Lonchura striata: one gene and its partner. The protein of the gene in region 1 purifies or fractionates together with the protein of each later gene. This does not show direct contact. Links are inferred from orthologs where the notes say so. Each region holds a gene or a part of one and is shown on either strand. Other genes may lie near its edges. The genes, in order: ESS2 and protein FRA10AC1 homolog.

The links.
Region 2: the proteins of ESS2 (region 1) and protein FRA10AC1 homolog purify together in Homo sapiens (co-immunoprecipitation; 3 studies listed by BioGRID and IntAct, counting the BioPlex papers as one, with this or other methods). This does not show direct contact. The link is inferred for Lonchura striata from reciprocal best matches to the Homo sapiens genes ESS2 and FRA10AC1.

Annotation. Positions count from the first base shown.
Region 1 is NC_134620.1:6,787,608-6,802,518, reverse strand, and holds ESS2 (splicing factor ESS-2 homolog), read left to right. Parts: upstream 1-6,947; 5' UTR 6,948-6,988; coding exon 6,989-7,135; intron 7,136-7,420; coding exon 7,421-7,589; intron 7,590-8,485; coding exon 8,486-8,581; intron 8,582-8,896; coding exon 8,897-9,063; intron 9,064-9,827; coding exon 9,828-9,945; intron 9,946-10,399; coding exon 10,400-10,533; intron 10,534-10,645; coding exon 10,646-10,748; intron 10,749-11,716; coding exon 11,717-11,826; intron 11,827-12,723; coding exon 12,724-12,839; intron 12,840-13,406; coding exon 13,407-13,692; 3' UTR 13,693-14,859; downstream 14,860-14,911. Other genes in the region: GSC2 (homeobox protein goosecoid-2), read left to right, coding at 3,573-3,882, 4,646-4,893, 5,428-5,529. UniProt on the Homo sapiens protein: May be involved in pre-mRNA splicing.
Region 2 is NC_134609.1:16,814,676-16,829,652, forward strand, and holds the start of protein FRA10AC1 homolog, read left to right. Parts: upstream 1-7,914; 5' UTR 7,915-8,009; coding exon 8,010-8,039; intron 8,040-8,398; exon of another isoform or gene 8,399-8,456; intron 8,457-12,176; coding exon 12,177-12,253; intron 12,254-14,248; coding exon 14,249-14,341; intron 14,342-14,424; coding exon 14,425-14,470; intron 14,471-14,977. UniProt on the Homo sapiens protein: May be involved in pre-mRNA splicing.

The DNA of each region.
Region 1 (14,911 bases):
CAGAAGAGGAGGTTTGGTACCCCACGGTCCTGCTCCACCACGGACACCATCTCTGACAGCCAGCACCACTATTGGTAGCATCCCTACTAGAAATATCACTAATAACACTACTACCCAGTGGAGAGATTCCACTTCTTCCTGTGGAATGAAATGGCCTTTGAGGAGAGAGACAGGTTTATTGTAATTATCATCTAATCAAATGAGTTTATTAGAATTCTTAATCTTAGTTGGTGCAGGGTTGAACAATTTTAATTGGCACAATTTTAAGATCATCTTTAAATGCCTCCTTCAATCCAAACCACCCAATGATTTTATGACTTCTGTTTTTTTATTAAACATAGTTTTAACACCTGACTAGCACATCGCACTGAATTTCAGCTACACAGAAAATGCTTCTTGTTTGTGATCTTGAAGGATTATTTTTACCCTGGGTTCTTTCTCACAGTGGTTACGGAGTGAGTGATGGGCATCTGCTGCTTGGATGATCACAGGCAGCCCAGGAAAACACAGCTGGCATGCACCAGTGGCTCCACTGGGTGGCCAGGAGGACATTGAGGTGTGGGTCCTGGGCTGAGCACTTCCCTTGGGGATGGAAAGCCCCCAGATTGTACTTTTTTGCAACACTTGTCAGCAGCCTCCATCTCTGTTCTGCTTTAGGAATCAGCCTGGAAGCCCAAATCCAGCCAGGGGTCCAGGTTTGCCCTGACTGCTGTCAATATCAATGAGTGAAAGAGTGCAAGATTTGTTCCAGGTAAGGCAGAGGAGTGCAGGAGCATGGTTACATCCTTCAGATCTGATCCTCCTTTTCCTCAGCATCACAGCCACCCCACACTGGTGATAGCGAGTGGGGAGAAGCACTGCCAAACGAGAGCTCCCACAGGTACCAGCACACAGGCAGGGGCAGGGCAGAGGAGGGTGCTGCCACACTGTAGGGTTTCCAGTGTTCCCATCACCTTGTGCTGCCTGCAGAAGGGAGGGGCAGAGGAGGGAAAGGGGGATTTTTTCTTGTTTCACCATAGGAAGGATTTTCAAACCCTATAAATTCACTTTTGACAAGTGAACAGCTAAAGCAGATTAACCTTTTTGCTAATCCTCTATAATGGCTTTGGAATCTCCTTAACCAATAAGAAAATTATAAGAACCTGTTTCTTTTCTTTTTATCTATATCTATATTGTCCTCTCTTGTCTGCATGTTTTTTCTTTCTTGTTTTATTTTCCTTTCCTTTTCTAATATGAAATAGCCCAGCGATCCTATCTCCCAGAGGCTCAGTAAACAGTACATCAGAAATCCCTTTCCTTTATTCCTCTCTGGTAACAGGGTGCAGAGAAGTGTCTGCCGATTGGGATTTGATTACCAGCAGCTATCAAAAGTCTCTTTGTACAATCTGGGTCCTAAATCCCATAATTCTTTGATAAAAGAAGTATTACCAGTCCATTTTCTGTAGTGAAAGGTATGGGAGGAATGAAAGAAAGCAATCAGTGGAGATCCTAATAGGCTAAGTGCATGTGTGGTGGGAAGGCAGGGCTGGGACAGGATGCCCAGGGAAAGGCATCCTTTGTTAAGGATGGGGAAGGAGAATTAATCCTCTTCAGGCATATGAACAGAGCTGGTCAGATCCTCCACCTGCCCTATGGCCCCTCTGGACCAGCACAGAGTGGGGAGCAGAACCTGGCCCCACATCCACTCCTTGTGCCAGCGTTTGGGTACATGCATAAAAACTGGGAGCTTTTGTGATCTCTGGAATTAGGGCATCCCCAGTGCCTCTCTGGAGCACTGACACCTTGGCAGGGCAGCAGTGAACGTGTCCAGACCGAACAGCCACAAAGGTGTCTTCATCTCAAAAGGTAAAGATTCGCAGAGCTCAGTTATAATCCAAGTTACACCACTGGAACAGCTGAAGCAGAGGCAAATAAAGGGATGGAAGGAAAAGCAGCAGTTTGGTTTTAGGTGAGTCACAAGTAGAACAGCTATGGACGTCTCTTCCCAGCACTAAGGGACCCGCAGGTGAGGAAGGGCAGGCAGTGAGCAGGGATGAGAAGAGAAAAGGGAGCTGAGAGAGGCTCTCCTGGGGACTGGCTGTAAGTTTTACAGGATGCTGGGGACATTGCTGGGCTGTCCAGCATGAGGATCTTTGGTGTGCAGTGGTTTCACAGCACCACCCGTGTGTCTCCTTGGTGTACCATGGGTGGGACTGCAAGGAAACACCAGGTGTGAGTGCTCCCCATCTGAGCTCCTGAGGCCTTGCTTCTCGCCTTGGCTTAACCACACTGAGAGAAAGGGAACTTGGGTTTAAACTTTGCTAAGCAACCTTATCTTAACCACACCTTCTCTATTTTATTCCCAGCTATTCATGTCAGTTAAAAACACAGGGTCCAATATGTTCTCTCCTCCTGTGGATTGCAGCTTCCAGACCTTGCTGTTTGCCCAGGGGAGGGGGCAAAGCCAGGCCTCCCTTCCTGTCCTGAATCTTGGCCATGGCCTCTCCCCAGTTTCTTTGGCTGGGCAGGAGCCAGGAATTGAACGGACTTTGGGAAAGCCTGGCTGTGGCACTGAATCCACACTCGTGCCTGGATGGCTGTGGGACCTCACTGAGAGCACACAGAGGCAGCAGCAGCAACAATCCCCCCCTTCCCTTCCCCACACAGAGCATGGCTCAGCTGCATGGGAGGCGGTTACATGCCACTAAGCTGCTGTGCAGAGCTGCTGCAAGCAGCTCGTAATCTAATTTATTAAGGTCTTTGAATCCTTACAAAGAGTATGTTGGATACATGCAAAGCATCTGCATTATTACAATGATTAGGGCAGCAGACATGGGGGAAAGGGGAAGGAGGGAAAATACGATTTCTCTGCTTTCAGCAGAAAATGAATCGACTTTCACAGAGAATTCTGGCAAAGCCAAAGGCTGTGTTGTCATTAAAAATGATTTTTTATTAAGCTGAACTCTCTCTTCTCTCATATTGTATGATATGACAGCTCTCTTTTGATGGGAAAGCTTTCATTTGGCCAGAGAAAGGGATAATTTGCTTCTTTTAAGGAGTTAATCCTCTGGTCCATTTCCGGGCTGGGAACAGCTATCCTCCCCCTTCCTTGGATAGGAGGCTGCTGCACAATGGAGATCATAACCACCTCAAATCTACACCCGAGATGGAGAAATCAGATTTCCTTCTCCAGTCATTTTTATGGGATTAGCTAAATCTTAGATCCACACTAACCCTTCACAAAGCTGCCAAGATTAGTTAGAATTTATTTTATTTGCAGGGGGGTTTTACGGTTTTCTTTCCAAAGGGATTATATCTCTCTCTATATATATATATTTAGAGTGGCTTCAGTCATAACACAGCTAGGTCAGAGGGAGGAAAAGAGTGTGTGTGTATAAAATAAAAACTCAGCTGTAAGCATGACAGCCACTTGAAATGCCAAGACAAAGCTGTGGTTCTGGATGGCTTTGCCAGTCCATTTTAAAAGCCACATGAGCTGTCCTTTCCCTAGCAAAACCCCACTAGGGAGCCAGTGAAGGGAGAGCACAGCCCCCAGCTGGGCTGCCTGCTTCCCCAGCCGCTGCTGGCACAGGATGTCTTCAGAGCCAGCGCCAGGGGCTGACGCCGGCAGGAGAGGCCTGAAGAAGCCACGTCCGTTCAGCATCGAGGACATCCTCTCCAGCCCCGTGGAGAAGAGCCCCCAGGTCTTGGTGCCGCTGTGCCTACGGAGCATCTTGGACTGCACACCCAAGCGGCTCTGCGAGCTGGAGACCATCCCAGCCAGCTCCCTGCAGGAGGAAGAGGAGGAGGAAGAGGAGGAAGAGCTGGAAGGGGCAGGCTGCAGCTGCTGCTGCTGTTCTCACACGAGTGCCCGTTCCCAGCAGGACCTGCCAGCTTGGCTGGGTGAGTGTTGGGTTTGGTTCAGGTGTGGGGCTTGCAGAGGGGCTGGTGCCAGTGCTGTGGGCAGGGGAAAACCTGGGTGTTAAGTGGCAATATGGCATCTGGCCACAGCGGTCTTGGGCCTGAGGCCCAGCAATCTGAGCTGTTCTCAGCAGGGCTCCTAAGAGTGCTGCTAGCATTTGAAAAGAAGAGGGTGCCGATTATTACTGGATATTTCTGGTTAGTGTGAAACTCTTGAGAGAATGATACTTCGAGGGGTTCAAGCTCTTTGTGGAGAGTGGAGCCCCATGTGCAGAGCTGTGCCTGTGCTTCCTGACAACACCAGCCCTGGGGAACCTCACTTACCCTTTAAGGAAAAGGGTTTTGGCTATGTCAAGCAAAATTACTGTGGAAAATAAAAAGTAGCAAACCCTTAAAAATGCAGTTCAAGAGCATCCTGAAGGTTCAGAATTCCCTTGTGTCAGGGCTGAAACACAGATCTTTGCCGGGCTGTGAGTTTGCAGTTATTTTCTGGATCTGACCATAGTGCAACTGGTAAGTGAACAAAGAAAACCCAGCCAGTGCTCACCACCTGCATCCTTCTCCATGTCATGCCCCAAACTCTTCTCCCACGTGCATGGTGACCACTCAGCTTGCCACCCACTCCAGGTGACTGGCTGCCTCCTTCCAATCTGTAGCAGGGATGCAACAGGTGCCTGAGCTGCCTTGAGCGTGGCGAGTGTTTGAGCCCCACACCTCTAACACTGCTGTCCCTGTCCCCTCGCAGATGCCCGCTTCCCCTGGCCCCTGCGGCTCTTCCACCCGGCAGTCAGGGTCTGTAGGAGCTCCCAGGAGAAGCCAAGGGAGCTGCAGACCTTCCAGCAGATCCAGCGCCGCACGCGCCGGCACCGCACCATATTCACCGAGGAGCAGCTGCAGGCTCTGGAGACACTTTTCCACCAGAACCAGTACCCAGACGTGGTCACCCGCGAGCACCTGGCAAACCGCATCCACCTGAAGGAGGAGCGGGTGGAGGTGAGGTTCTGCCACTTGCTGAGGGCAGGATTCTTGTGTTCCTGCAGTCCCCAGGAACACAGACTGGGGCATTGTGCTGTCTTTTTTTGGGGGCCTGCACACTTATGGTCTCATTTTAAAATCCATCTTGTGCATTTGACAAAAGAGAGTTTAAGTCTGGTGAGCAATGGATGAATATAAACCATTTCAGCTGGGCTAATTTGTACTGGCATCCAGTCCCACAGACTCACATGATGCCTCTCTCCCAGAATCACCTGTCACACAGAGACATGCCCAGCTCTGCTGCTCATCCCCTGCACCCAAGTCTGTATTCCTTACATAAGTGACCTGCGTGACTTCTGAATTTGTCATGGGGGGTCCCAACTCCTTTGTGCCCCTCACACATACCCAAGAAAGATTGCAGCAGAGGGACTGATTACATTTTGTATCAAGCCTTTCTATTACAGTACCTCACAGCCCCGGAGGGCCACTGCCTGTCCCCCTCCCAGTAACACCTGACATGCAAAAGCCCTTTTCTTGTTTTGCACTTTCTAGGTTTGGTTTAAAAATCGTCGGGCGAAGTGGCGGCATCAGAAGAGGGCGACTGCCTCTGCACTGACCCTCCAGCCCAAGCAGCCCCCCAAGGAGAGCTGTTAGTGCTCACAGGCTGCAGAGAACACCAAGAGCACCACTGCCGTAGCTGACAGGCTCAGGGGGGTAACCCGAGGGGGCTAATGCAGCAAAAAGGGAACCTCTGTGGTTCACACAGGAGGAGGACGGGTAAAAGCACACTTTTTGGCACTTTCACATGCCTCTTCCAAACCTAGTTCACGTGGCAAATAACTCAGCAGGCAGGATGTGCAGGGGACAGAGCTGTACTAGTGTTAGATGTGTGTGCTTTAAGAGAAGGAGAAACTCCCCTTCGTGTCTTTACTCTGTGCACGTAGTATTTGTGCTTGTTTTATTGATGTAGATTTGCAAAATATCCTGCAAATGAATGTGTCCTGTTTGCAGCACCTCAGTGGCATCTAGAGTTGCTTTTGGGGTTGAACTTGCTGGACAAGCGATTTGTTTCATAACAAAGAAACACGGGTTTCTTCCCATAGCCTGGGGAGAGGTGATGAACGTGCTGTGCTGAGAGGACTGGCACAGGCAGCCTTCGCCTTCAGCCCTGCTGCCAGCCAGTCCCTGTCACAGCGAGCCGTGTCCGTGTTCCTGGCGGGGCCAAGGAGAGGCCAGGAGCTGGAAAGCGGCGGGATCAATAAAAGTGCCCTGCCACCCCGCCCAGCAGCCAGCCGGGGTCCGCTCCGCGGGCCCGGGGGGTTTCTGAGCAGGTCTGAAGAGACCGTGGGGGCGTTGAGGGGATCCGCCCGGCGCCCTTCCCTTGTCTTAACCCGGTTCTCATCCCGTGTGTATCCCCGTTGCCAACTCAGCTCCCATCCCCTGTGTATCCCGGCTCCCATCCCGTGTGTATCCCGGTTCCTATCCGGCTCCCACCCCGGTTCCCATCCTGTGTGCATCCCGGCTCCCATCCCGGTTCCCATTCCCGTGTGCATCCCGGCTCCCACCCCGGCTCCCATCCCGGTTCCCATTCCCGTGTGCATCCCGGCTCCCATCCCGGTTCCCATTCCCGTGTGCATCCCGGTTCCCATCCCGGTTCCCATTCCCGTGTGCATCCCGGCTCCCACCCCGGCTCCCATCCCGGTTCCCATTCCCGTGTGTATACCGGCTCCCACCCCGGTTCCCATCCCGGTTCCCATTCCCGTGTGTATCCCGGTTCCCATTCCCGTGTGCATCCCGGCTCCCATCCCGGTTCCCATTCCCGTGTGCATCCCGGCTCCCACCCCGGCTCCCATCCCGGTTCCCATCCCGTGTGTATCCCGGTTCCTATCCCAGCTCCCACCCCGGTTCCCATCCCGGTTCCCATTCCCGTGTGTATCCCGGCTCCCAGCCCGGCTCCCATCCCGCCGCAGTCCCGCCCGGGACCGGCCGGGTCCTCCGCAGCGGCAGGGGGCGCGCGCGGCCCCGCCGCTGCCGGAGGGGCGCGCACTGCGGTGCCGCGGCGCGGAGCTGTGACGTCACGGCCGGGCGCGGTCCCGGCGGCGGTTCCGACGCCATGGAGGCGATACCGGTGCCCCCGGCCTCTCCCGCCGCTCTGGTGCCGGCTCCCGCCGCGGGCCCCGTCGCCGTGACGGGGAAGGAAGTGGTGTCGCCAGCTGCGCGGCACTCGAAGAAGATCCTGGATGAGGAGGCCTATATCGAGGTAAGACGGCGGCCCGGGACCGAGCCCGGGAGGCTCCGCTCCGCCGGTGCTTGTGCCGAGCGCTGCAACCGCAGCTGCGGGTGGAAATAGCGCCGGGGCCGCCCCTCGGGCTGCCGGCCTGGGGCCCGGGGCCGCCCCTCGGGCTGCCGTCCTGGGGCCTGGGGCCGCCCCTCGGGCTGCCGGCCTGGGGCCCGGGGCCGCCCGTGGCTTTGCGCTGCTGGCCCCGAGCTGAGCCGGTGCTCCAGGTGTCCCAGCGGGGCATTGCAGTTGTCTCTGTCTCTGCAGAGCTTAGAGAAGATCATCCAGCGAGACTTTTTTCCCGATGTGGAGAAGTTGCGAGCACAGAAGGACTATCTGGAGGCTGAGGAAAATGGTGACTTGGAGAAAATGAGACAAATTGCTATCAAGTTTGGCTCTTCATTGAACAAATCGTCGAGGGACACACCTGCACCCTGTAAGAACTGGCTCTGTGGGGCATCAGGGGTGTGTATCTGATATTGCTGCTCTATCTAACTTCGTGCGGACAATGCTTATCTTAAAGATTCAATGTTGATATTGCATGAGAGCTGAGTGTGCCGGTTTGGGCAGTGTCTGGTGGCTCATGCTGAATTTCTCTTTGATGGTGTCTAATAATTCTTTGAGGGAATGGTTTTGGGAAAAACAGCCATTTAAAAAGCATTCCTCATAGGCATCTTTTGCCAAGTTCCTGCGCTCTAGGTTATGTGCTCTCTACTATGAGAAACCCTAAGCTATGTTTTGAATCCTTATTTTAGTTTGTAGTTTTAGGGGCTCTTGTTGCATCTACAGATATTTGAGATTCTCATGTATCAGGGACAGAAGAAGCTCGTGGTTATCAGAGGTTCCCACAGCAGGTATCCAGTGTTCTGTTTTATGTTTTCTTTCACTTTCAGTTTAGGTGTTTCCTAAAGCCCAGCCCCTGGCTGAGCTCTTGCAGTGGGGTTTGAGTAAGGGGCTTTCTTGTGGCAAAGGGCATCACCAGGTGGTGTCCCTTCCTTCCCTGCTGCAGGTGCTGGCCCTGGCCTGGGCTCAGTTTGATCTGCTGCTGCTTTTGTTGGCAAAAGCAGGGTGTAGGGTGACTACACCCTGGGCTGTGGCTCTCCTAGGAATTTCTCCCAGCAGGAGAAAAATGTCTTAGATGAGGCCAAAATCTTGTTTAGAGGTTGAGACAGAATTCAGTAGAACATTTTGGAGCTCTTTTCACAAGTTTTTAATTTAATTTTTGTTCTCTTGATATGCCTTCTGTGACTTACTTGGTACAGCATCCTTAGAGGAAATCCTGTTGTGTGCTCCAGTAACCAGGTGATTTTTTTTTTTTTTTTTTGATGGCAGATGTTACCCCAGCCACATTTGAAACCCCAGAAGTGCATCTAGGTGGCCTTCCAGTGGGAAATAAATCTAAGACTGGTATCAAGACTGCAGAGGAAGGTAGGAAAATTATGTTTCTCCAGCTGAATTCTTCCAAAATTAAGTTGTCTGCCAGCAGCTGGCCATTTGTACATTTCACCTTTAAAATAAATTGCTATAAACACCATGAAAGGGTTTATTGGAAGCTGGTTATATGTGTTCCAAGCCTGATTTATTCCTGCACCACTCTGTGGAGCTGTGTCTTTGGCCAAGCTTGATGGCATTCCTGGTGTGTCTGTGGAAGGCTTGCTGCCAGCAGGGTTAGGAGGTGGATACAGTGCTCCCCTGGAAAGGGAGGCATTAACCTTCCTCAGGCTTCTTCCCTTCTCTTGTTAGGAGAAGCAGAAAAAGATGATAAAGATGCTCTTCCCAGCCTGGACACCTTCTTGGCAAAGCACACGAGTGAGGATAATGCTTCCTTTGAGCAGATCATGGAAGTGGCCAAGGAGAAGGAGAAGGTCAAGCACGCCTGGCTGTACAGCGCGGAGGAGGAGTACACCCGGGTAGGGAATTGCCTCAGCTCTGTCTCTGCTCTTCCAAGGGACACAGCAGGGAAATGCATTTCACTGGCTTTCTGCTAAGGCCCAGCTTCCTGCATCCCATGACTGCTCTTTGCTTCCCTGTGCAGTCCTGCTTTTTCCCCTTCTGTCACACAAGAACAGTGCTTAATTACTGAGGCTTAGTCTCTTCTGAAAGCTTTGAGGCTGCAAAGCACTGCACAGAGTGTAAGTATTGCTGTCCTTGGCAGCCTGTTCTGTCAGCAGCATCACAGTTCCTGCTGTTTGTCCGTCAGCCCCTTATTATTTGCAGTTTGTCTGTCTTATTTCAGTTTTCAGCTTCTGTTATCAGTAATAACCCACACAGCTGCTGAAGCACAGAACTGCAAGAGCACGGCTGGCTGTGCTGCCTTCCTCAGCTACCTGCAGGGGAGGTCCAAGTGCTGTTCTGGGCCTGCTTTTTCAGTCTTTAACCATCAGCAGTGAGCAGCTGGGACATTGATGGCTGTGGGATGCAGTGCCTTTTCATGAAGTTTGGCACTGACATGTGGGTGTTTGCTGCTGTTGTTTTGAGGGAGTGTTATTTTTTTTTATCCCAATTGTCCCTCAGACTGTTACATACCTTATGCAAGGTGTCCTAGGGCAGGTGGCTGAGCTTTTGACTGAGCTCTCCAAGTTGTGTCTGCCTGAATAAAAGATTGCAGGAGGCTGCTTCAGAATTTTTTTTTTTTCACCTTTTAAAACTTTTTTTTTTTCCATCACCCTTTCAGCGACAAAATGAAAACCTGGCACTTCCTTCAGCCGAGCAGCAGGCTCTGGAGAATGTGAAAGCTGGGCTGGATACCTGGGAATACACAGCTCGGAACACCCTCATGTATTATCCTACAGGTGAGGCATTGGTTCCAGGTGGGTTGGCTCCAAACAGTGCTTAAAGCATTTCTGTACATGACTGAGCAGCACTTACAGGTCATGCTGTGCTTTTTCTTCTGTAAACTTTTTTTTAAACAATGTCTTTTTTTCCCTGTTTTTCTTGGCCTCTGATTCCAAAGTTTGATCATGTTCTATTTGCCATTGAAAAGCTCATCTGTATTACAGAAATACCTGTTTTCAGCAGCCAAAGCTCTTTCCTGGTCTGTCTTCTTTATGATCACTTGTTGTCATCTTCATTTGTTTGCTTCTGCTCAAAGAATTCTCTTTGGACTTGTCAGTCTGTTTGTTCCTATAGAAAAATATATATTTTTGTAAAAGTAGTTTTCTTTTTTGGCTGTAAATGTACAATTGATAACTTCTGTGAAGCAGTGAAGTAAAGAGCTCTTTTTTAAAAGTCACTTTGCTTTTCAAGGTGTACCTGATGATAGTGAAGTTTTTAAGAAGCCCAGGGAAGTTGTGCATCGAAACACCCGTTTTGTGAAGGACCCTTTTAGCCAAGCTGTGAGCAAATCACAGCTCCAACAAGCTGCAGCCCTCAATGCTCAGGTTGGATAATTTTACTTCTGACTCAAATCGTGTGGTTCATCCCCCAGAACTGTGTGTGTGTGCTGGATGCAGCTGACTCTCACCTTTCTCCACATTGTCTTTTGTATTTCAGTACAAACAGGGCAAAGTGGGACCCGATGGGAAAGAACTGATACCCCAAGAGTCTCCAAAAGTGAATGGGTATGGATTTGTGGCTACCCCGTCTCCTGCCCCAGGTAAGAGGATTTTCTTATTTCTTCTGCTTTAAGAGGACTATTACTGCACTTTCTTTGATGCTGTCTTCAACACTAGGGTGTCATTACAGGGTTAGATGAGGAGGTGAAACCTCGTGCTGTGTATGCCAGCAGGATGCAGGGCTTAAATCCTAGTCCAATACACTGGTAGGAGAAGTTACCCTGCATCAAGAGACTCTGAAGTTGCTGTGCTATTGCTCAGGAATCATCTAGCTGTGGGCTACTTTCAGTTGGAACAAACTGAACATTTTAATTCGAGTTGAAACATATACTGAATTTGTACCTGTTCTGCACCTGCCCGTTGTTTCTCTGTGCTTTTTGTGGTTACCTCAACGCCTGAACATGCTGGGGCTTTCCCTCTGGGAAACCTGTAGGTGGCGTTTGGAGCACCTCCTTTCTCCATCGTAAATGCCTTTTCCAAGCCCTGGACAGCAGGATTTTCCAGCCAGAGACTTAATCGGGCTCTTAGGATCCTTTCTACACCTGTAAGAAAAGGTGCAGTCACTGTTTGGTACAGGCTGCCCCCTGAGGTGATTGGAGTGTACATTTGGCTATTACATGTCCTTAAATCTTCTGCCTGTTTTCTTACTTTTAAAGAGTTTCCTATGTTCAAGGAATTTTTATTTAGCAGCAGAGGGGACAACTAGTACTGTAGAGGGAAAAATGAAAGTATAACTAATCAAAAGCTTAGCAAATGGAAAAATGAAGACATGGAAAGGGTGGTGCTTGGTTGTTGTAACTGGGAGGGTGACACAGCTACAGGCAATCCCTTTTAATGGGAACCACATGTTCCCACTGGCTGTGATCTGTGATTTCCTCTGCAGTGTAGGGGCTCCTTTGTTGATTAATTTGCTGCATTTCTTAATTTGCTTCTCTCTCCCTTCTTTTTTTTTGTGATGAATGAATAACAAACGTCTTGCATGGGCATAACTTGCTGAATTTGTTTTCAGGTGTCAGTGAGTCACCTTTTATGACATGGGGTGAAATTGAAAGCACCCCTTTGCGTCTGGAAGGGTCAGAAAGACCATATGTGGACAGAACACCTGGCCCAGCTTTCAAGGTATTTCATGTTAGCACAACATTCTTTTCTGGGGGGGAAGAACTAAGAAGGGAAAGGCAAGTGAGTAAGGAATAGATTAACATGGAGTGTGACACATCTCTGGGTGGTGTTCCCTGTCCTTGAAACTAATAATCTAGCTTGTGCTTGGAGGGTGGAGGTGAGCATGGATCCACATGAAATCTTCTTGGTGGAGCTACCTGAGGTTGGAACACAGGTAGGAACTGCTGGCAGGACAATGAGATTCTGCATTTGGTGGTGGGCCCAGACAGAAGGGCTTTCAGAGGAAACTGAAGAGATGCTCAATTTTTCTGATTTTAATGTGTGAATAGGTGGAAATTTTAGCATTTCCCTCTGTCTTTATCTTCTGGCTGTTGCAGCCTGAGGCAGATGTATCAGTTGAGAGTAGAAAAGACACTCTGGTTTTGCTAATGGCACCTAACCCTGCATGCTACTTGTCTCCTGCTGGTATCTTTGAATGTGAGATGTCTGAGACTCTTAGTTTAAGAAAGGTGTAATTTGCTGTATGTGCCTCTGTTTTGTTAGACTCCAAAGGCCTTGACTGGTTCTCCTGCTGTTTAAGAATGTCTCTGTATGCCTGAGAGCAGGCTGGCTACAGGCCAGGCAAGACACAGGTGACATTGTTTGTCTAGGAGAAACAGCAGGAGGAAATGCCAGAGGTAATGGCTGCTTCCTTGACCGGACTCGTTTTACAATTTTTGTTACTTGCTAAGGCAGGTTGAAGGTCTCTGTGTCCTCTCTGGCCTTTATGCAGCAGCAAAGAGGTGTGGGCTGACCCCACTTGTCCCTGTACATTGGAATCCAGCTGTGAAGGTGCTTTGACTCATTTTTCATCACTCTTGAGTGCCTTGGCAAGTGAACTGTGTGATGCATTTATAGATCCTGGAGCCCGGACGCCGTGAGAGGTTAGGACTCAAGATGGCCAATGAAGTAGCAGCTAAAAACCGAGCAAAGAAGCAGGAGGCACTTCGAAAAGTGACAGAAAACCTGGCCAGGTGAGACTTTTGTTTTGACAGCAGACCTGGGGGTGGCTATTATCTGATGAGATGTAAATCAGCACCTGTAGAAAGGGAGGAATGATGGTAAGGAAGGATACTGGAATCAGGAAGAGGTGCATTTGGACTGAAAGTTACTAAAATTTAAAAATTTAGAAATTAAAAAAACTTAATTCCTGAGGGAAAGTGGCTGGTGGACGTCCCTGACACTCTTTGTCAGCATTACTGCTCTGCCCTACAGCCACCCAGCGATGCCTCTGGATCAGTGCCTTGCCTTATTGCAAAGAAGAGACATGATAAGAGTTGCCTGGGGGGTCACAGGAAGGACAGAATGGGCTCAAAGGAAAAGTCAGGCCATGCCACTCAGGTTTGGGAAGGATGCAGGAGGTTTTTTTGTCACTTGTTTCTCTAGAGAGACAGGCTGCATTTACCTGCAGGCAGAATGACTTCTGCAGGCAGTGGGTCTTCTCTGTGGGGGGAAGTCACGTAGGAAGGCAGTATTACTTTTCCTAATAAAGGCAGATTTTTTTACTGTAAAATCTCTTAAAGCTTTTTATTCTGTTTCAGCCTTACTCCAAAAGGACTAAGCCCAGCAATGTCACCAGCTTTGCAAAGACTTGTAAACAGGACTGCAAGTAAATACACCGACAAAGCCCTGCGAGCCAGCTACACTCCCTCCCCAGCCCACACAGGAACTCCTGGTTACAAGACCCCGGCCAGTGGGCCTCAAACCCCCCAGAGCACCCCACAGTCTAGGACAGTATCTCACACACCAGTATCTCAGGACACTACATCCATCACGGACAATTTGCTGCAGCTTCCCAAAAGAAGAAAGGCATCGGATTTCTTCTGAACATTCCAGTCACCACCAAGATGATAGTGCTGTGCTCAGTGAACTGCAGACTGGTTACTGGAAACTGGGGAAATGGAGATAATTTCTGAAAGATATATTTCTGTTTTTAAGAGCGCTGTGCATTTAAATTAATTTCTGTTCAGCTGCATCTGTTTCTTAAGTGGGGTAAGCCTTTTTTAAAGGCTGAACTTGACTGGGGTCCAGCTTGTCAAACTTGTTTGTAGTTTGCAGAAGAGGGGACACAACCATGTGCATACTGAGGCATGACACAGAATTTTAGAGAGGTTCTCTTTAACTTGAATTTAAACTGATGCAGTTCACAAGTTTGACTAACTTTGTGATCTTGTTAAAACCAGTGTTCCTTAAGAGGACTCCATTTCCTCTTCCTCTGCTTACACTTTGCAGTGTGGGATTTACCTTGCTGCTTTTGCTCAGACTTTTCTTCTGAAGGGTTTTGGCTTGCCCTGTTCTGTAGCTGGCAGAGGGAAGGGATCAGATTTGTTTTGTAGCTGCTCTGTGTGTGACTCCAGAGAGTTGATGATCATGATGCAGGGGCCAGAGACAGTCCTGTGTCATCCACCAGGATGACAGTACCATTCTGAAGCACAGAAATTATACTTCTGATAGCCACACTGGGGCTTTTGTTTGGTGTTTTTCTCCCGTTCTTTGAAACTTTTGGCTTTAGTTTTCATAATTGGCCAAAAAAAGGAAAAGCAATTTTAACCACACGTGCTGTGGTTGCTGCATATGAGCTGACGTTTGTGTGTGGGATGAGCCCTTGTGTGATGTGATCCAGCTTGGAGAAGCACTCACTGTGCACTCTTTAGAAGGAAGCAGGTGTAGCCAGGTGTTTCCACTTCTTGCACCCCACCTGAGTACAAGACAGCATGTGTAACACTTGCCAGCGTTGGCATTTGTTATAGTCAGGTGATGTTTTTCTGAGGGAACATCCATGGAAAGTCTTACCCAGCAACTTGAGGAGTGTCTGCAGCGTTCTCTGAGGTCTGGGGCACTGGGTGCTGTGTTTGTCTTGGTGGAAAGCTTTCTTTTGTGTGGTTTTCTCTCCCACTTCTAAAACTCGTGTCCCTGACTGAAAAACCCTTCTGAGGGACTGTTTTTATAGTGCACCTTGTAAAAATAAATTTATCAACATGACATTGCTAGGAATCATGACTCAAAAATTAGTAATTTTTACCTTTTTAGTCCAGAAATACTTGAA
Region 2 (14,977 bases), on another chromosome or scaffold:
GGAGAACAATTTAGTATTCTTTTGTATGGGCATATTTTTCTGCAGGTATTGATGCCTTCCAGTAAGAAAATAGCAAAATGCTTCACTAGTCTTCTTACTTTTTCTAGTTCTTAACATTTGTGGCTGGATTATGACTATATCTAAGATAAATGAGGTAGTCAGAATAGTATTTTCCTTTAGTTAACAGACTCATGTTATAGAAACCTGCCAAATACTCTGTTAAGGCTGAGGTTCAAATAAAAGTTTTACAGGGGAAGAGTGGCATGGATTTACTAAACCAAGATTGATAAAAAGTATTAAACCAGATCCTAATATAAATCTAAATAACACAATCCATCTTTTATGAGCAGTATATTTAAGGACAGTGTAATGAAAACTTGACAGAATGTTTTATGAAATGCTACAGGAAATGTTTTTCATTCAAATCTCACTTCACATCCTGACCCTTATCTTCCATGTGGTTTTGCTTCCATTCAAGAAAGGCAGTCATCTAGATACCTAACTGTTAACATTTTGACTTACACTTGAAAACTGAATGTGGTTTCAGCAAGTAGCAGGATCTTCCCCAGGGTACAAGCTGGAGTATTTCTTTTTACTTGCAGTAGATGACTTTCCTCAGTGTTTTTTTGAGTCTGAAATTTTTACTTCTAGAGTTGTGGATATTGCCCAGCTCAGTGTTGCTGGCTATAAATACCATAACTTGATATTTGTAACTAAGTTAGACTAATGGTTGCCATTTACGATATTTATCTTCCCCATTCCACTTAGATGCCATGGAATGAATAGTGTCCTGGAAATACTTTCAATAGAAAGGTTGATAGTATTTCAGTACTTCATGTCTTAATGATATTGGTGATTACATAGCATTAAACTGTATTTAATTTGAAATATAATCCCTGTTATTTCCAAACCCTGAAGATCAGTAGTATACTTTTACTAATAAAAGCTCACTTCTAGCAGAATGGCTATGGTATTATTAATTAAATTACGTCTCACAGCAGTACTGTATAAGCATGCTCATTAAAAACTGTGAAATAGGAACTTTTAACTGATTCATCCTACTTCAGTGCTCAGAACAGCTTTTTTATATCCTGTATCCTTCAGTTTTCACTGAAGGATCAGTTACTGATCACCTCAACTGGGTACTAACAGCCTCAACATTCAGCTACTGTACTACTTTACTCTGTAATCCCACTGAAATAGGAAGATAAAGTGAGGGTCAATTCTGTTATCATTACATTATTATTGTGCTCTTATACCTTAGTTTTTTAAAATCTGACTGTGAGATTCCAAACAACTGACTGCAGCACTGTATATTGCAAATAAGCTCTGATTTTTTTTCATTGCTTAAGGACAACCAGTGGAAAACACTGTGATGAACTCATCTTACCAGCTCCACAGTACAGTTTCATGACTGGCTTTCTGGATTCCTGAGTTGAGAGCTCAACTTCTAAGTAAAGATGAAACATTTCTCTAAAATTAACAGGTATTTTCTGAACATGTTTGCAGGAATGAGACTGTACATCTCTATTAGCATTACATCTTTGACTTCAAGGCACCTTTCTTTTCCAGGTTACATAGAATGCTGGGTGCACAAATAGTGCTTAACTGCTTGCATGATTCAGATGACAGTGACTTGTCTGTCACCTTTTTATATAGAAGATTCCAGATTCCAAATATTCCTTGTCAATGATTTGTACCTTTCCTCAATTCTCATAAGCGAATATGATGAATATATATACATGGTAGACATTATGCACAGAAATGCATCTCGGGAAAAGAGGGAACATGTATCTTTTTCACTATGGTTTAAAAATGCAATGGACTTTAACTTTGCTCATGTATTCTTCTTTTCCCCTTCTAAAAAATTTAGTGGGAAACAATGTACTTTAAAGAAAATAAGTCATTGCTTGTCAGTTGTTTTCTTATTTATTTCCACATTACTAGATTTTCATTCTCTTATTATTTTTTATGATTTTTTCATCTTAATATAATAACTCTGATATCAAACTGGAAAAACAAATTTGCCTTTCTATTTATGTAATTGAATGCCATCAGTCACTTTCCACCAAAGCAGATCTAGTCATAAAAGTAAGATTAGGCATTCTTTGCTCTCTTAGGAAATAGTTCATACTTCAGGGAATTTAAGCATAATGAACTTCTAAAATCTCCTCAAATGAAAACAGGAACATGGTGGAGGAGTCAGTTTCTGTATTCCACTTACTTAAGTGAAGGTTGATAAAACTAAGAAGTAGTATTTTGTACATACTGATAATTACTTTAAATTAAATTCCTGATAGGCTGAAGTCGCTACTCAAGTTTATGCATGCTTATATGCATGTAGTGAGCTTTGTTCTGAGCAGAGTTGCCAGACTAAGCTGTGGAGACAAAATTCACCTGCCACAAAACAAATGTGGAACTAGCACTGATGATTAAAGACACTAGACAAGAGCCTACATAATATCTTTAGGAGATTTATTTAGTAAAATTCTGTACATTTTGCAAAAATAAGCCTAAACTTTAAAGATAATTCTGGGAGTTGAATCTAAGAATTACTGTTTTATTAAAGTCTGATTTATTATTTCCATAATTGAATCAGTTAGTTTTTACATTATCATAATGCTATTATTTACACTATACATCTTATCAAGGACTTGCAGGAAACTTTATTTTAATGAAGTTTTTTGAAGTACACAGAAATTTTAGGAACAAGGTTGATGCTTTGAGCGTTCCCTTAATTACAACATAATTAATTAATTAAGCAATCTGATTTTCAAGATAATATTATAAGATTCTTACATAACTCTGTAGTCACAGGCAATAAAACTAAAACAGATATTAGGAATTTAAACAGTTATAGTTCCTTTATAATGTATCTGTGATTCTTTAGAATGGAAGATTCTTTAGAGTGGAAGTAATGCTACCATCAAATAAACTGTGGCTCAGGATTTCAACTACTTCAGTCCATGATAATGGAGACTAAGGCTGCTCTTCTGTCAACAGTAATAAAAAAACATCTTGTGAATTGTGTATGAAGTTGAGAGGCCTTATATGCATCATAGGAGGTGGAGCTAAGGGAATAAATCAGGTTATTTAGGCTGTATTTTCTAACATTTTGGCCTAAACTGGGATTCTGTTTACCAATTTGATCAGCTGAGAATAGGGATGCAATTTTCACATTTTTGACTTCTTGGGAGAAGAAAATTCAACAGGAACCTTCAACTTTGTTTTTAATAAGAGCCTTTGATATTTGTTTTTATCCTAACAGCAGAACAAGCTTGATCTGAATTCAGGATGTGCACTGTTGTCTTCTTCAGCTTTCCATGACTGTTTATGAAACAAATTTCCAAACTTCAGTGTCAACATAAGTGCTCTGTAGACAGACAGTAGAACCAGCACCTTCAGTGCACAAGGCAGTAAGTGGTTGTGGAGACTGGCAGTGATTTGTTCACCCTAGAGAAGCCAGGAATAACAAAGGTCCATGGGTCAAATTCTATCTCGTATATCCTTCTAAAATGCCATCATCTGTTGGATCTACCTTTAGATATGCACATTTTCAAAATTTCTGTTTTCCAAATTGCTAATCATATTGGAAGTCTTCATGTTCTATAAAATTTGTCTCCACACAATGTATGTGACATTGATATCCAATGGTGTTAAACAGAAACAATTAAGTGGAAAATGTTCACAGATAACTGGAATTTAGGAAATTCAATACTCTTATAATAGGATTAGCTATTGTATTATTAGCTCTATTTTATCCTCTTAACAGGTGAAATGTAATACAATGATTGTGGCTACTTTTACAAAGGTCTGGGATTTTAGAACAAGGAAGGAAACTGATGATCAATCAGATACCATTTTTTCAAAGGCACTTTTCTAACAATGCTTATGCACTGAAATGCTAATTGCAACTTCAAAATATCATAAAACTGCACATCTTCTCTTCAAATGATGGACAAAGCATGGGCTTGTCTATGATTATTTTTTGTAACTGACCCTATATTGGAAATGTCTTTAAATACAGTTCCTTTCTTGAGAAAATTACTTTATCAGCCAAACAAATAAAACTGCATTTGCCTTTTAGCACACCAACATTGACACCTAGTGGCTAGTTAAGATCCATGTTTAATATTTCCTGTATGACAAAAAAATGTGGAACACACCATTTATTGATTTTGACAAACCAGGTATGCACTGCCTGCTATCTCCACATAGCCTCTAGATTATTAAAGAATATAATTAATGACTAGTTTGGAGTTATCAGTACCTGTGATGGGAACTGATGAGTGTGAGGCCCTGCCCCTCATGTACAGCCCCACTGGTTTTCCCAGACTGTCAGGAAGTCTTAAGCTTGGGAATCAGCTGCCTGATTTTAGTGTATACCTTCCACAGGGCTCGTTGGGAGGCACAGTACATCCCTGAAATTGTAAACTGGTACAGCTATATGAAAAAGAGCTACAGTTACTGAATGTGATGTTACTGGCATATGTGAATGTCCATTTTTAGCTTTACTTGTTTTTTCTACAAATTACTAGGGGGTTTCAAATAGGAGGAGATAAAAATCAGGAACATGACAGATGCCAAAGTACTGTTTGTACAATGAAGACACAAAAATAAATTATTTGGCAACTTACTTCATAGACATGTAGGACATAGGAAGGTGGCAGTATCAAAAGAACTGACTTAATGGAGAAAGAGAAAAGATTAAACAGGACAAATACAAGTTTTACTAGCATTCTTGATGGTTCCACATTACTGTCTCATAATCAAACTCAAATGTAGTCTGCAGCAACAGCTCACAATGGTAGTAGTTGTCAGTGACTGCCCTGCCCTTGCTCTCCATACCAGTGGTAGCTGCCTCTTCGAGCCTGCTGGCAAAACCTTCTGATTTGCTTCATTAAAAATTGGAACAATTTTTTAATTGGCTAACCAAACTAATTTTGATTCAACAGATCAGAGGCTGTTGAGTTTAAACAACTTTACCAGAAGATCTTAGGAGGCAATCACCTTATGCAGAAAGGCGGATGTGTTTCTTCCTGGCTAAATATTGTTAAGGAGTAAACACCTACTGTTTGTATTTCTTAAAAATACATAGAGAAATCTAAGCCTGAAAAAGAGGAACAAAATATAAGAGTTCTCCAATATGTAACCTATATAGAAAGGTTGAAGTACCTTCTCAGGCTGCAAAAAGGGAAAACTGTGGGGATATATGTCTTCCAGGATTTAAATGATGATCACTTCTTGCTTTCTGTACAAACTAGTGCAGGACACTAAGAAATTAACTCGAGTAGCAACAAATAAGATTTTTTCTTAGATAGTAAGAAAAACTCCTTATACCTAAGAGGTTAATAGATTAAGGTGTTAAGCTGTGAAAGCTCCTATACTAGAACCTTTTAGGAACAGCTCAATACATATGTCAGGTATACTTTGAATTCTGCATCTCTATGATGTATGAACCATGTCTGACTTAAACCTTTTGGATACACCAGGTCTCATATTTTATTTAGCTCATTCTAGATTTAGGGCAGAATGGAAGTTAAAGCTACAGTGGTATTTTCTCCTTTGTGGACCACAAAGTTTAGGGCTACTGTAATTTAAGACTATTGTTTCACATTACTGCTGACCTGATCTAAGAGAGCTGCTGCTGAAAGGGCAGCCCCTGTTTCTCACTCCCCACTTCCCTCCTGTCCCATCCCACACATTTTATTTGCCCCACCAGGGTTGCTCATCCAGATAGCACATCAGGACAGTCAAAGAACCTAGAGTGGCAGAAAATTAAATTCTGCAGTTCAGCAGGAGTGGTCAGATGAGCATCAGGGCGAGTTCAAGAAGAATGCTCTCTTCAGTAGCAGCCTGACTTGTAAAGATTAGCATAGATTGACTTCCTGTAAAGGAAAGCTGTGCTCCTAAGGTTTGGTTGTACAGCCATCAAAATCCCACTTAAAACCTCCTGCCCTGTAAAGAGTTATGCCTATCTCGTCTGTTCTTTTTCCTGTATCTTCCAGTCCTGTGGGACTCATACGACAGCAGTGCCTTTTTGGTGTCAAAACATACTGTTGCTAGAATTAAACCACGGAGATACTCCTATTGGAGCAACGTATAATGCATATACCAATGGCTAAGGGCATATTCAGTTTCAACTTCCAGTTTATTTAGGAGGCCATTTCTGAACCCATTCCCCAGCTGTAACTTACTGTAGCCACATATAAAATGCAGTCAGGTGATGTTCTAAAGCAACACAGACATCAGAAAAGCATAGCATAGCAAGATGAAATTATCTAGCTGCTATTCTCAGAAAAGCTGTTTATAACATAACTTCAGCATCTACAGCAGCTGCTATAGCTGGACTCACTGCAGAATTTTCCTGTCCCAGAAACTGTATTTTTTCTATATGCAGGCTTTGTGGCCACAGCACAATGCCAAGAGATTTCAGAATTATAAATCTTTCCTCTACCTTTCCCACTCTTCTTCAAAGTGCATAATCAATGATATGTTGGCCCAGTTTCCAGAATCATGTCAAAATTCATTCACACTAAAGCAGTCTGTCATTTCCATAAGACAGGAACAACAAAAAGATGCTTGCTATTACAGCTTTGAGGGTATACATTATTTATTTTGATAGATTTAAATTATTAATTAGGATAATTCCATTTTTGCAACAGAGTCTCTGCCCTTTAGAGGAAATGGGCCACATTCAGTAGGACTTCAGCAGAATACTGCATACACTCAAATATGTACAGTGCCACTCAGTTCCTTTCCGTGGGACACTTTAGCATCATCTTTGCATACGTTCACAGCAATAATGACATAACAAGTAACACAAACACTAGGTCAGGAGAAAAAAAAATCTGAAAACAGAGATTTACTAGCCAAGGTAAGGTGATACACTGTCAGCTATGGTGTGTGATTGTCTTACTGCAGAAAAGCAGCTAGCTACAAATTACATTTTACAATTTGCACATTACAAGGGGAGCAGAAATATTTGAATTTTTAATAATTCCCTGTATTAAGTGTGTCTGTGGTTTAACTATCCAGGAATCAGTAACACAACTGGAAACACAGTCCAGAAGAAAGTACCTGTGATGAACTACAGCATTTCAGACCTCAGCAGTTCAGGTTGTCTTTGATGGGAAACTATCAATTCATTGACAGCTAATTGTTGTATCTATCTGATGACTTAATGCCGAAGATCGGTGCTTCCCAGCTATTTTATAGCAAATATTTCTGGCTTATAAAACTCCTTTTTATGATGCAACCCACAAGCTCCCAACTCTTATCGCCCAGTTGCCGTCGGTCCTCACAGGGAAACTGAGTCACACACTGCCTTTCGTTCTTCTAACTGCGAGATGCGACTGAAAAGAAGAGAAGCCGCTGGCACGGGCAGAAATCGGTGCTACAGATCGCCGTGCCGAGGCCACGGTCGCGGTCTGCGCCGCGCCGAGGGCAGCGCGCACGTCCCGGGCGCGCCTGGCAGCTGCTGCGCCCGCAGAGCGCCTGCCGCGGCCTCCCGCCCGCAGCGGTCCCCGAACAGCGACCCCCGCCTCCCGATCCCCCCCAGGGAGCCTTTCCGCCGAGCCCCGGCACCGCAGCGGGGTCTACGCCCGTGCCCCCTCCGCAGGGACTGCCTGCCCGAGAGCGCCGCGGACGGGGCAGGGGCGACCCGGGCCGGGGAGAGGGGCGCACTCGGGCCTCTCTGAGCCCCTGCGGCGGAGTCCTACCTTCCCAGAGGCGGAGACCGCGGCAGCCGGGGCCGCTGACCGGGTTCCCGGGCAGGGAGACTCCCCTCGCCCCTAAACATGATCAGCGGCTTTCCCCTCCCCTCCCCTCCCGCGCCGGCTCGCCCTCCCCCGCGCCCCGCGGCCCCGCGCCGCCCGCCCGCGGCGGAGGGAGGGCGGAGGGAGGCAGGGAGCCCGCGGCGCGGCCCTGCTCCGCCTCTGCCCGGCGGCCCGGCAGCGGCCCGCACTGCCGCGCCGGGGCCGGGCGGCCGAGGCGGCCCTGCCGCGGCCATGGAGCCCGACCAGCTGCGCCTTTCCGCCGTGAGTGGAGCTGGGAGGGAGGGAGGGAAGGGCGCCCGGCGGAGGCGGGCGGGGACAGGCCTGGTGGAGGCCGCGGCCGCCATGGCCGGGGGCCAGGGCGAGGAGAGGCGCCCGGCCGTGCCCGTGGGGAAAGGGCCGAGCCGCCCTCCCCGGGCGGCGGACGGGCAGCCGGGGGTCGTGCCTGTGCCCCGCTGCGGCGGCGGAGGAAGGGCCAGGCGGGCCGGGACAGCGCCGGGCCACTGCCGGACAGCGAGCGAGCAAGAACGGCTGCGGAAGCTGCGTCCGACTGGCCGGTGCTCGTTTCTCCGTGGGCCTCCACAGAGCTCTAATCCTCGATGTCGTCGTCTGCTGTTACCTACCTTTTACTCCTACTTTTAATTTCATAGCTGTAATAAAGGGGCAGTATCTTGCGAGTGTCTTTTCTCTTTGTTAGGGCCGCTCGCTGTACAGTATATGCAGGCACTCCTTGTAATAGGTCTTACAAGGAAGAATCGATTTGGAGCTAGTTGCTTATTCTCGGTTTTTTTTCCCCAAGTAGGGGTGGCAGACCTTCACAGACAACATCAAGGTGGGAAAAGCATGTTGCAGTGAATCATTCTGACTTTCCACACAGCATCATTTATCCATCAAGGATGGCTCCTCAAATTCTCTTACAGATCCTGTGCTTCCTTCATACCCTCCCCAAATAGTTTGCACTGTAACGAGCACTCGGGTTTGTTCTGGGTCACATCTGGGCCGTGAGCAGACACACTCACAGACCTGCGTGCTGGGCAGATAAAGGGAAGGATGGCTTGTGAGGGCCGTGACAAGACTGGGCCCGAGGTCAGGAGCCACAAGTTGGGAGTATTTTACAGAATTGTTTTGCCTTTTTTTCTTGTTCTGTTGTTTCATGTTCAGTCACGTTGTGGTTAGGAGTGGACACATTTCACCAGTGTGTGTTTACTCCATTGGAGAGGCTTAAAGGAGGTGCCTTCTCTGGATCCAAGTACCTGCTGTAAATGCAGTGCTGGGTAGTTTGTGGTGTCCTGGATTGACATCAAGAGTTGGTATCTCAGTCTGACATCAGTTGTGTACAACGTTCATGCATTTACTGTGTTTTGCGTGGGTTTTAGGAGCCAAGAGTTTAGTGGACTCTGTTCTGTCTCCAGTTGTTTCATCATTAAATAATCCAAGATATTTGGATTACTTAAGTGTGAGCTAAATATACCCCAAAGCATATTTGTGCTTGTTTTAATTTTGTGGTTTCAGTTTATTTTATTGTTTGGGAATAAAAAATTCAAAGTTGGAGCAACAGCAAAATACACTGTGTCATTTAGCTTTCAGGTTTGTGTTTTGAGAAAAGACTTGGTATTTGTATTAGTAATTAACTAGAAGCATTCTGAGTCTGACAAATTCCATCAAACCAAAGTTTATATTGAAGGGTTTATTAAATAGTGAAAGTAGTTATTTTAAGTTTTGTTGCTGATTATGCACATCCATGTCTATATCTGATAGGTTAGGCCTACAGTTAAACATATTTTTCGTATCTGGGGTTGTAGGTGTCGGTTTGCATTGTCCTTCCAAAATGGCAAGGTTCATTTATAGATGAGGTTCTTTGGAGATGGAAGTCCATGAAATGAAGTACGTATGTTTTACCAAGAGTCAGGTCATCTTGGAATCATCCTAAGGTGTCAGGTTAGAAACCATTCAGTCCCAGTGTCTGTGAGTGTTGTCCAGCACTGCTGGAGCTGCTGCTGTCAGGCCCAGCACCAATGCAGGACCTGTCTGTCCTGCTATTGCCTCAACAGAGGAGTGATCCACAAGTGTCAGGACAGCAGTCATGGGCTGGGTCCTTTTTCACTCTGAATTTATCTGTGCGGTATTACAGTGATTCAAAGGAATGTCTGAAGCTGTGAAGAGCTTTCCTGTTGGAAAAGCAGCCTAGTCCTTAGCCATACCTGCCCTTATATTGACAGTCAGCTTTTCAAAAGGCAGTCATCAACATCTGAAAACCCTACAATATGACTGTGTTGGAGTAGTTTTTCTTGCATCTTTTTTTCTTTTATTTGAATCATTCCTGGGCTCACTTGAGAGCTGGTTAGTGAGGATGTCTGTTTCTTTCCTGGGGTATATAATCCAAACGCAACTGCTTTGTGAGAATCCCCTTTCATTTGAGCTTTCTTGCCTGGTTCAGTACTTCATCTGCCTAGGGCTTTCATGCTCATGGTGTTGGCTGGGACTTCCCTTTTGAGTGTGAAGAAAGCTCTGGATGTTCATTTGGGAAGCATTACTAATGCCATTTAAAACATTCCCAGATTAGCATGATATTTTTTAAACTTAGAGGCCAAGTATAAATATATTTGCTGCATACTCATAGAGTGTTCAGACTTTAGTTCTAAAGACCTTACAAGCTTCATTAACAGAAGTAGTGACAAGCTAGCTATACTAGAACCACCTATCTATGAGATTACATTGTTGTTGCTTTTTTGCCCGTGTATGAGGATGGTTTACAGCAGACATCTGCTGCACTTATTTGGTTTGGGGTTTTGTTTGGGGGAGTTGTTTGCCTTTTCGGTATGTTTCTGTTTTGTTTGTAATGGACAATTTTTATGTCTCGTGGGAAATAGAAAATAGTTCAGAAAAAGTTCTGATTTGCTTTTGTTGAAATATATATGTGTAGTAGAGTTATGTGTTATTCAGAAGCATCCAGAAGAGTGGGAGGAACATTATGATATTTGTTTATTATTATTAATAATAATAATTGTAAAGGCTTTTAAAAAACTTAAAAAGAGTCCTTCATTGTCAGTTTGAAAAAATAGTTTTACTTACTGTGCACAGTACAAACCAGTTGTAGGTGTCAGTAGAGGATACAGCTGACTCTTCAGCATAGCATTTCTGCAAGTCATTTGCATCAAGAGAAGGCACCTCATCAAAATCATCCTGTGGAGTTGTGTCTTTTTTTCAGATTTTGTTTTTCTCAGCTTTTTGGCTGAGGAGGAGTATAACTGTAGGCAATGTAAGAATCAGCTGAATCGAGTGCGCTTGCTTTCTAACCCATTGACTTCTCTTATCCACAGTTTGACTTACCAAGACACTTTGGGAGCGTGTGTGGAACCTTCCCACGTGCAGCTCTATTAATAACCATCCCTCTTGTTTTTACCTCAGTTGTGTAAAAGCTTGTTTGGAGTTGGTGCTGGTTTATGTGGTGGCCAGCTCTGGCTGCTCTCTCCGTGTGCTGTCCCTTCAGCTGGCTGGTGTAGGTTGTGGAGGCTCAGATGAACTGTAAGGAAACTTATCTGGGTTAAATAATATTTTTTTTTGCATAGGTTCCTTTGTAACTGAGTTGTTTGGTCTGGTTCATGTGTACTTTCACAACTGTAACTGAGCACCTGGTAGGAAGGGTACTGAGAGTAGGAGTGCGGGAGAGGAGATGGGACCTACTTAAGCTGTTGCATCACCTGAAGGAATTGAACATGGAACTGTGCCTTGAGAAATGGAAGTGATACATCGGGACTTGATCATTTGAAAGCGTTATAATATGGATATTTTGGTTTTCTTATATGCCTTAATTTAACATTGTAGTTCCAAAATGTGTGGAACAGAAGGTTTCATTTTCTGGTAGGAATGTTGTGCTGATGAGGTGATACACTTTTGCAGGCATTTTTTTTTTTGTATTTTATTTATTGTTTCAATCAGATTTCCAGCTACCAGTATAAGATCTAATGATATAAAATGCTGCCCAAGAAACTTTTATTCCCATTTTCCTTCATTTATAATGTGGACATATCACTTGCTGTCCTCCAGCCCCCAGGGAAGATATTCACCTTTGTCTTACATAAGGAATGTTGTTTAGAAAATAAAAAGCTAAGGTATTTATCATATTTTTAGTTTGCTGCATCTATGTGAAGATTAAATATGCATATAAATTATTTCTAAAGTGATCTATTTTACAAAGTGATCTTTCTTGGCCCTGTATTATCTGGAATATACTCTGCATTGTCTGTGGAATTTTGTTTGGTTCACACATGTGAGAATGTGCACTAGTTCACTTGCTCTCTGTCTTTCTGTCTTTATTTATGCTGATGGGCACTACTGATTTGTAATTATGCCATATCCATATTACATTAGCAGATATATTGACTGGTCTATTATTTTCAGGCACATGGCCATGGAGGCTATGATTCTGATTTTAGTGATGAGGAGAGTGGAGAGAAGTCTCTGCAAAAGACTAAAAGGTAATGTAGTACAGAATTAACACTTTACATTATGTATTTTGTACAAATGGCCTCTTAGTGTGCATAGAAGATGATGCTGTTGCATGTAAGTTCTGGTGTTGAAATGGTTTTTAAAAAATCAATCACTTTGATTTCTGCATCTCCTCATCTCAAGTTTGCCAAAGCTTGTCATCTCCAGAGGCTGCTGATTAAGAGCTGTTCTGCCAACTCCATCTGGTGTATATTTGCCCCTCAGTTCTTGGAGCAGAGTGTTTTGTTTTTCCAAGCATTAGTATCCACTGCTGGGTTTTGGCAGTGCTGTTCACACCACTGCGATCCATCAGGACAAATGGAACTGCTAGGAGAGCAAGGCAAAAAAGGCCAAGTGTAGCAGGCTTTGTAGATATAAAACACATAGAGATATAAAGTGAAGAACTTATGCTACTTCTTTATTATTTAATTTGTGAAGAGACCTGGGTATTGGTAAATTGTGTTGTGATCAATCCTTGAAACGTACCTGCACATCTCTTATTTGAGATTATGACCTTGGCCAGTACTTTCAGTGGTTTGCAGTTAGTGACCTGGAATTTTGTAATCTGATGTGACTACATTGTAAAGATTTTTATTTGTTTTTGTATTTATTTTGCTTTTGTACTGTAGTTCCTTGACACTTTCTGCACCATACTGAATATTTGGCCAACATTTTGCATATACTTTTCTTAACTTTTTTTCTGTCTCTCCCTTGCTTTTTTATTGGACTTTATTTAAGAAGACTTTCTGGAAACTTTCCTAAGATTCTTGCATATTTTTCCTTTATAGAAGAATTGAAAGAATGGATTTTGTAGTGTCTGATTGCATTCTGGGAGAAAAAAAAATAATGTTTTAATCTTTGGAATAATAGCATGCATTAAGACATTTCATTTATTTTATAAATATAGCTGTTTTCCATTAAAATAGGGACTGATTTTATTCAGATCTCATTTTCTTTAGATGCCATTGCATATTCCACCATTCCACTTTGAGGTGCAATATTAAGTAACCATCAGGAGTCTTTCAAAAATACCATCATTATCCTTGTTCTGGCACATAACTGTTGATTCCCAGTAGGGCTCTTATGTGGGTTCCTTTTCTTGCTCTGTCATTGTATTTATTTTCACTTTAAGGAAAATAATAGTCTTAAATTCTCTCCAAATTACTTTTTTATAGACCCTTCTTATGGGAATTTTGTGTTTACAAATCCTTTTGAGTAAATGATACTTTAAATTTCTAGAGTCCTATATTCCATAGCTAGAAACAAATTTCCTGGCTTGCTTTCTTCAGGTTTCTGATTGCCATGCTTTCTGCCTGCTGAAAATTATGGGAAAAAATCTTTTTTTGCACCTCAGTTTATGAATGAAATTAAATAAATATACATTTTACTAGCTAAAATGTATATCTTTAACTTTTTATTACTTTGTTGAACTCTAAAAGTAATTTTAGCTGCCTACTGACAAGTACAGTTCATTACATGGTAATTGACTTCTAAATTTGTGATTCTTGTGATTGCACTACAAGAGGCAGAGCTGTTTAATGAGGTGTTGAGACATTGGCATGAAAGGGTGGAATAGGGTTACTGCCAGTCACTCTCTTTCAGTGAATGCACTGTCTTTCCTGTTCCTACTTTCCTGCGTAGCTGAGATTTGTAAAAGACTTTAAACGTCAGAGTGAAACTAAGGAATCTTCCAGGTTTTATAATTGTGGTTCTATAGTGATAATATTAATAAAAACAAATATTGCAAATTGCTGTTTCAAGCAATCGCCTTTAAATGCCAACTGGAAGCAAATGCCTTTCTGATTTTGTTCTGCAAATGAAGTAAAGCCCAAGCTGATGTTGGTTCTGAAGTTTCATTTTATTCTTGTAGGAAATAGCAATATAACTATTTTTGTTACTCAAGATAGTGCAAGGTTTAGCATATGAAAATTTTATTGCTTATGAAAAGTTTTTGAATAACTTTTCTTCCTTTTCCCCCCCTTTAGAATACAGGAAGATGCCCTTCTGATAAAGCCATTCCAAAAAGCAAAACAAGGCAGTGTGGTTCACAGACAATTTGCAGCTGAAGAATGTGATAGGTATCTTTTATATATTGCTTTTGTGAGACATTTTCCTCTTAATGGAAAGATAGTTTTCACTGGAGCGTGTTTGTTATTAACAGGGAAGAAGCAAGAAAAAGAAGATTTCATTTGATATCGATGGATGCTGTATCCTTCTGTTTGATTTTTCAAGTTTGAAGATGTGACACAGGTTATCCATTATGGTAAAATACTGGGATTTCTCAGTTATCACAGTCGGTGACTGTGCAGCACCAGATACTGAGTCACTCTTCAGAGGAGCTTCTTTGTGCTGTTGAGATAAAAGTTTTGAAAATCTTTCAAGAAGCCATATATAAAGTTTTTATTTTTGTAGACACTTATTTTCTGAATAAGTAATTACACATTTTGCTCAAATTGTGGTATAAAATGTGTTTCAAAGTTTCTGTTTTGGCCTCACACTGAGGCCAAAGTGTTCTAAGAAGCATTACATATTTTTCCATTGTTTTAATTTCCAAACTAAAGCATACAACTTTTATTTGTATGTTGGTGGTAAAAATGTAACAAATTATTCCATTTTAGTAGCCAGACTGTTTTTATAATAGAAAAGTACAAACCTGTTTTAAACCAAAACTGCAGTACAAAGAAGCTGTTACCTAAATCACAGCTGAAAAAATG